Coturnix japonica: one gene and its partner. The protein of the gene in region 2 purifies or fractionates together with the protein of the main gene of each other region. This does not show direct contact. Links are inferred from orthologs where the notes say so. Each region holds a gene or a part of one and is shown on either strand. Other genes may lie near its edges.

Evidence for each region.
Region 1: the proteins of SMAD6 (region 2) and WWP1 purify together in Homo sapiens (affinity purification with western blotting; 3 studies listed by BioGRID, with this or other methods). This does not show direct contact. The link is inferred for Coturnix japonica from reciprocal best matches to the Homo sapiens genes SMAD6 and WWP1.

The regions. Positions count from the first base shown.
Region 1 is NC_029517.1:111,491,460-111,494,959, reverse strand, and holds part of WWP1 (NEDD4-like E3 ubiquitin-protein ligase WWP1), read right to left. Parts: intron 2,347-3,500; coding exon 2,250-2,346; intron 1,929-2,249; coding exon 1,856-1,928; intron 1,166-1,855; coding exon 1,066-1,165; 3' UTR 1-1,065. UniProt on the Homo sapiens protein: E3 ubiquitin-protein ligase which accepts ubiquitin from an E2 ubiquitin-conjugating enzyme in the form of a thioester and then directly transfers the ubiquitin to targeted substrates.
Region 2 is NC_029525.1:16,930,489-16,934,523, forward strand, and holds the start of SMAD6 (mothers against decapentaplegic homolog 6), read left to right. Parts: upstream 1-1,235; 5' UTR 1,236-1,529; coding exon 1,530-2,151; intron 2,152-3,892; coding exon 3,893-3,949; intron 3,950-4,035. UniProt on the Homo sapiens protein: Transforming growth factor-beta superfamily receptors signaling occurs through the Smad family of intracellular mediators. SMAD6 is an inhibitory Smad (i-Smad) that negatively regulates signaling downstream of type I transforming growth factor-beta.

The DNA of each region.
Region 1 (3,500 bases), on a different chromosome or scaffold from region 2:
TTTTTAACTGTGCAAAGCTTGTGTCAATTAAATTTTATTTGGGTTTTCTAGATCCGATAACAGAAATGGAACGTGAGCGTAGAAAGCAGCAAAGTTCATATTACCTCTCATCTACCCTTATATCTCAGTTTACATTAATAACTCGATGAAGCTGTGAAAAACACACCACAGATTGACAAAAGGAAATGAAAAAGAAAAACCCTGTAAGACAACAGACCAAGGAGAAAATGTGTAATAGTGTCTCTTTTATTATTATTTTTCCTTTGAAGATTATCTAACATCCTCGTGGTAATAACCCAAGGTAATATGTAAACAAATTTCAATGCTGCTCAAATGAATCAAAGTATTCTGTTCAGCTCCTACAACAAGTCAGAACAGTGGCACCAATTCCTTTCAACATTAAATCACATTCATCTTATTGTACATTACTCTTGTGCAAGTAATAAAGGCTTTATTAATGACCTTGGCTACATCAGTGTAGTAAAGAGAGATATATCAGCTATTAATGTATTTTAAAAAATTAAACTGACAGAACATCATATTCTGTCATCTCAAATACCAGCAGCATCTTTCTACATATTTAGGATACGTTTGGCCTAAGCCTTTAACACCTTTTAGAACAGCCATGCAATAAAACAAACTTGGAGATGTTTCTTAAGAGAGAACACAGAGCAGTTTAAACATTTTTTTCTAAATAATAAAGCCAAGATAAAGCAAATCCAGGCCCTTTTAAATGGCTGCAACTTTTCATACACTTAAAGCTCTATAAAACTAGAGCTTATTAGTATATATATTTATATTTTTAATATATATTTTAAATAAGACTCTTGTCTGCTTTCAACATTTATGAGGGATTTTTCTGGTCTTTTGGAAGGGCAATAAATAAAAGTAGAAAAGGCTGAACTGTTTTGCATATCTCTGTGGAAGAACGGAGAACAATTATACTTTTTAGAGTTCCAGAAAGATCACTGTACAGAACAAAAAGCTTATATACAATTAAGTGTGCAACTTTAGTTGGCTGAGCCTTTTAATATGCAAAGTCTCCTTTTGGACTAGAAGCTGCTTCTACTCTTGACCAAATCCCTCTGTCTCTTCAATGGCAAAGAGCAGCTTCTCTTTCAGTTGTTCGTAGCTTTTATAGGGTGGCAAATCCAAACGATTAAAACTGAGAAAGGGGGGGAAAAAACAAGAAAAACTATGTTAAGTTCATCTGAATGCCATGCAGAACACTATTGACTGCTATAGTAGGAGCTAGAAGTGTTCCAGTGTAGCAATTAGAAATGAAGAAGTGTCAGTCAATGACATTTCACTACCTTAACATTTCTATGAACAGTAAAAACAAAGTTTTAGATCAATGCATTTAAAAACAAAAGGCTGGTATCACATCAGATAAAGAAACAGGACCTTTGAGGTCTCAATTAAGCTCTTTACAGAGATGCGGAGAACTGTAATACTCATAAGAGGAAACATTTAATTTGATACATCTCCAAATTCCAGCAGAAGGGTGAAATGGCTAAAGCCTTATCCCTTCTACATGTGCCTGGAAATAAGTTTTAACTTTTCCTTAAGCTTGGTCCCAAAAACCCTCTGCCACAATTCTGTTTCATTCTGAGTCTTCCTGAAGTTATCTTCCTGATAGCAGTTTTAAAAGCATAATGAATATTAACGTCACAAGGTTGCAGCAGCAAAATTTAAGATTAAGGGAACCAGAAGAGTTCTCAGTATTGGGGTGTCAGAGCAATCAGAACTGAAGACAGATATAATGATTCCAATTACATTTCCTTTGATTTGGTAAATGCAAGACCAGAATAGAGGAACCACTAAAGGTAGAGAAAGTTTACAAGTAACAACTTACCAAGTGTGACTTCTTGGTAACCAAGTTTCCTTACCAACTTTTTCAATGCAGAATTTCTGAGGACCATTACTTCCTAGAAAATAAGAGTAAAATAACTGGAATCTGTTCCTCTGAAGTAACACACAAGACATCTATTGGATACAAAACAATTCAGATAAAGCACTCAGAAATCATCAGATGCTACTTGTTATTCAAGATTGTTACAAGAATATTCTGCTAATAGAAATAAGCTAATTTCCTAATCATTTATAAAGTTATTCCACTTGATTTCTGATCTAAAAAGACCTGTGAGAACCAAGCTGATGTACCAGAAGTTCCTGACATCCACTTACAGCCTGGTTCTTTTGCAAATGGAACAGTTACAGTCTAAAAGTTTGGGTCATTCTTCACTTACCCATAAGTTCAGCAAATCCACCCAGAGGTAATCGACAAGTGCCAGTGACAAACTGCAGAAGTCGCATGCGAACCTCGTTGTCTGTCTCTTTTACAAACTAGGGACAGAGATTCAAATTACTTAGTAAAAAAATAATGGACAAAGCTGGAGAAAACAAAAAACCTACAAGACTGTTTAAAACACATCATTCTATTTCAAATGATACCTTGAGAAAAGCTCATCTTTCTCCATTTCAGTAAAATTGAGGGTGGGGGGAAAAAAAGACAGTGATTTCATGTTGTATGCACTATTGACTATTACAATATGAAAGCTGGTGAACAGCTATCAGCAAATATGAGGAGTCTTTGCTTCATTCTAATGCGCTAAAACACAGAACACACCAGTGCTATAATTAAACATGGCGATAGCCTTGCCTCAGGCTTGGAGCATCAAAAGACTCAAGTATTCCCCGCTTATGACAGTCCCAGTGAGAGAGAACACCATCCTTCACAGCTATTGCACTTTTTAAACAGAACTACTGGGAAGGTGAAAAGGAGAGAGAGAAGGAATTGATACAGCTGCAATTTTAACTCTAAAGCCTCGATAACAAAACAAATACTTTTTCATTCAATAAATGCTGATATCATTTTCAAGCTGCTTGAACTTCTGATCATGAATCTTTCAGTAATGACCTTAATGGTTTTATTTTTTTCTCCTGAGAAATATCATTAAATCTTCCATTGCACTGAATACACGGATAAGCTAAAAACAATTGATCTCTATCACTTTTAGAGTAACTTTATCAAAAGTACATCTAGAATAGTGATTTATCACAAGGCAGGAAATGCCCATCTGGGAGTCCCCTTTAGGGAAATTCATAGCTCCCGGGAGTCTGTTGTTTCGCTTGTTGTTTGTTTATCTGAAAATAATTCTTAGCTCACTCAATTAAAATGTGACTTATAATTGGTCAGCACAAGACTGGCACTGATAACATGACAATAATCATAAATAATGATGTACTACACACATTACAGACATTTAGAAAGTACATTACTGCCAACAATAAAAAAAAGCTCTACCATAATACAATCAATTAAAAGGACAAGATCTAAAAATCAGTATTTATGTTTCAGCCATTCAAATATGATGCAGGTATCTCACTGCCATTTCCCACCCTACACTATGCTCCCCAAGAACTCTGTTTCTCAGAAAATAAAAAGAAAGGAACAAGTGAGAGCCTTCCTTCAATTGGCATCCCTCCCCTTTATGTGT
Region 2 (4,035 bases):
GCTGAAACCCCTTGCATCCCTGTGCAACCTTTTGCATCCCATTGCATCCCATTGCAACCCATTGCATCCCTTTGCGTCACACCGCGATCCCCTGCAACCTCTGGCGTCTTTTTGCGTCCCTTTGCATCTCATTGCATCCTTAGATCCCTTTGCATCCCCATTGCAACCCTCCGTATCACTTCGCATCCCTTTGCATCTCATTGCATCCCTTTAAACCCCTTTGCATCCCCATTGCAACCCTCCGTATCACTTCGCATCCCTTTGCATCTCATTGCATCCCTTTAAACCCCTTTGCATCCCTTTGCATCCTCCCGTATCTCTTCGCATCCCTTTAACCCCCCCTCAGCCCTGCAGCCCCACACAGACGGGCACTAGGACCCAGCGCGGCGCCGCCGGGCTCCGTTCATTCACGGGCACGCCGCTCCGCGCGGAGGGGGCGGGGCCAACGCGGCCAACGAGCCAATAGGAAGCGGCGAGAGCGCGCGTCACGCGGCGGCCGACCAATGAGAGCGCTCCGGGCCTGAACTTTTGCCACGGCGGACAAGTTGATACATCGCGGGGGCGTGTCCCGCCGCGGCGTCTCCCGCGGGGGGAGCGGCATTAACCCTTTCGCCGCCGCGGCGCCGCCGTGACCTACTTTCCTCTGGCGGCCGCCGCGGGTAAAGCGTCGTCGGGGAACGCGGCGCCTTTAAGAGCCCGGCAACCCGAGCCGCTGTTTGCGCAACAATCGGTGCCGCGCGGAGCCGCCAAAGTGTCTAGACTGGCACATGATGGGCGGCAGCCAATCGCGCCGCCGCTCGCGAGGGGCCCTGCGTGCGCGCCGCGGACACACAAAAGCTGCGCGAGGGCGGGCGGCGCAGCGCGGCACGGCGGGCCCGGGGCGGGCGCGCGGCGCAGCGCAGAGAGACACAGAGAGAACAGGGAGAGCAGCGGAGTGAGCGGGACACGGCGGAGCGGAGCGGGGCTGAGCGGCGTCTCAACGGGCTTCTCCTCATTCGCCTTGTGATCCTCCTTTCCTCGGCTTCGTTTTGCTGCTCCTGTTGGGTTTTGTGTATTTTTTTTTATTTTATTTTTTAATTCGCCTTTTTCATTTTTTTTCCTTTTTATTTTCTTATTTTTTATTATTATTATTTTTGAGGATTTTTTCCCCCGCTTCTCCTCTTCCATTATTCCATTTTTCCGCCCTCATCGCCGCCTCCTTTTTAATTTTCTCCCCCGTCGTTTTCCCCCCCCCCCCCCCCTCCCGCTTTTCTTTTTCCTTCCCCCGTTTTATGCCCGGGCGCTGCCCCCCGGCCGGCCCCCCCGTCCCCATGGCTCCCTGAGCCCCCCCCTATGCCCCCCGCCTATGCCCTCCCCGCTGGGCGCTCCCCATCCCCTCCGCCGCCGCCTTCCCCCATGGTGCGGCCCCGCCGCGGGCCGGGCGCTGCGGGCGGCTCCGGGGGCGGCGGCTCCGGGGGCGGAGGCGGCGGACGGGCGATGAGGAGATAGAGGCGCGGAGCGGAGCGAGCCCCGGGCCGCCCTCGTATCGTATGTTCAGGTCCAAACGCTCAGGGCTGGTGCGGCGGCTTTGGAGGAGCCGCGTTATCCCGGAGAGGGACGGAGGAGATGGGAACGGCCAAAGCTCGGAGCGGAACGCGACGGCGGTGACGGCCGAGGGACAGCGCATGGCACAGCCCAGCCGGGCGCAGGAGGGCGAGGGCCGCCCGGTGCGCTGCTGCCTGTTCGCGGAGCGGCCCGGCCCGGAGCCGCCTCCTCCTCCTCCACCCCCTCCTCCTCCCGGCGGCGCCTCTCCCCTCGGGCCGGGCGGAGGCGAAGCGCGGTCGCGGTTGGTGCTGCTGGAGCGGGAGCTGAAGGCCGTCACCTACGCGCTGCTGAAGCGGCTCAAGGAGCGCTCCCTGCACAGCCTGCTGCAGGCGGTGGAGTCTCGCGGCGGCACCCCGGGCGGCTGCGTGCTGGTGGCCCGCGGGGAGCTGAGACTGGGGGGCGGCCAGGCGGCCCCCCCGCACCTGCTGCTGGGGAAGCTGTTCCGCTGGCCAGACCTGCAGCACCCCGCCGAGCTCAAGGCCCTGTGCGAGTGTCAGAGCTTCGGGGCGGCCGACGGCCCCACCGTGTGCTGCAATCCGTACCACTTCAGCCGGCTCTGTGGGCCAGGTGAGCGTTGGGGCGGGGGGGGGGGATGGATTCCTGTTCGTTTGGGGGTCGGGAGCGTCGCCACGTGCTTCGTTTAGGGCTGTAGGAAATGGGTTCTCCCTCCCCCCACACCCTGTTTGGGGCCGTGGGGATTGGGTTCCTCAGCCTCTCATCGGGGCTGGGGGAGATGTGGGACCCAGCATTATGGGGCCAGGAGGGTGAGGTTACCGTGTTTGGGCTTTGGGTTCGTGGGGAAGGGGATGTTCCGTTTGGGGCTGGGGGAGATAGAGGGACCTTGTTTTTCTCAGCCCCAAACTGGAGGGACCCCAGATCTGGGGACCTGCGGGAAAGGTCCCCGAGTTTGGGACGGGGTGGGTAAGGAGGGAGGATATTGCCCTGTTTGGGGTTTGGTTTGGGTAACTGGGGGAGATGAGGCTCCCCTGTTTGGGAATGTGGGGAGGAACATGGGGAGAGTTTGGGCCTGGAGGAGATGAGGTTCCCCGCTTTGGGGGCATGGAGAGCGGACCCCTCCGTGTTTGGGGCTGGGGCGGTCAGGGACGGACTCCCCACGTTTGATGTCGGAGATGCGGTCCCTGCAGTTCTGAGGGCTGAGGGGATCCCCAAACTCGGGGTGAAGGAAGCGGAATCCTGGAATCCCCGCTGCTCGGGACGATGCTCGGGGCTCGGCTGCGGTCAGGGAATGCCTTAACGCGAGCTGCGTTCCCAGCGCTACTTTTTCTTCCAGGAGGAAAAAAAAAAGAAAAAATCCTTTGTTTAGTTCTCTTTAATTTTACGTATATTTTTTCCCCTTATTTTTCCCTTCCCTTTTTCTTCCTCTCCCCCTCCCCCCCGGGTTCCCCCGCCATGCGGGGCCGCCCCCCGCCGCCTGCCCGCCGCCGGCGCCAGCCTGGCTCCCGCCTGGCTCCGCTTATCGCGCCCGGGCGGTCCCCGCCGCGCCTTAAAGCCGCAGCGCCCCGGGGCCGTGGGGCCGCAGCTCGGCCTTGCGTGGGGCTCCGCTTTTATGAACTTGTTTTTTTTCTCCCCGATCTGAACGCCCCGAACGACCTTCCTCCGCGTCCCTTCATTTTTTTTCTTTTAATTATTATTTAAAATTCCTTTTCCAACGCGCTGTCCCCTCCTGTCTTTGCATCGTTTGCTTGAAAGAAACTTCTGTGCTCCTGGAGCAGGAGTGTGTCGCTTTGATTTCGGCAGCCACCGAACTTTCCGAGCTGTTTTCCTGCAGCGGTTGTTGTGCGGTGTCCCATGCACAGCTTCTGCTGCATCCACTTTTTGGGGGGGCTGTTGAGCCCTTCAAAGCACCTTGCAGCCCGCAGGGCTCTCAGTGCACGGCCCCGGAGGAGTGCGGTGTTTTTGGGAAGCAGTAGGTGGCTGCAGAGCAGCGCGGGGGGATGCTGAGGTCGTTGTTAGGGCTGTAACTCGGAGCAGTGTGTGTGTGGGGGGGTGTTCTGAGCTGCAGCAGAGCCGCTGTGTGCACAGTGCTGGGGGTTGCACAGTGCTGGGGGTTGCACGGAGCTCAGGTGGTGCATCTCAGCAAGTTGCAGTTGTGGAAATAAAAACACTGGAGGACCTTGACCCGGTGTACAGCCCCGAGTTATGGCTGGCAGCAGCGGCCCTGCAATGCGTGGCAGCACCGCGCTGCTGAGCTGTGCAGTGGGGTGGGACACGGTGGGGGCACCTCGGGGCTCGGAGGGCTTTGCTGGTGGCCCATCCGCAGTGCTAACACACAGCTCTGTTTTCCCAGAGTCTCCGCCACCTCCCTACTCCCGGCTGTCTCCTAACGACGAGCAAAAGCCACTGGGTAAGTGCTGCGCTCCTTCCTGCCCCGCGTGGTCGGGCTGTCGGGGCTGCTCCTTGTTCCTGGGCAGGCGTCAGCTGAGGAGCTTT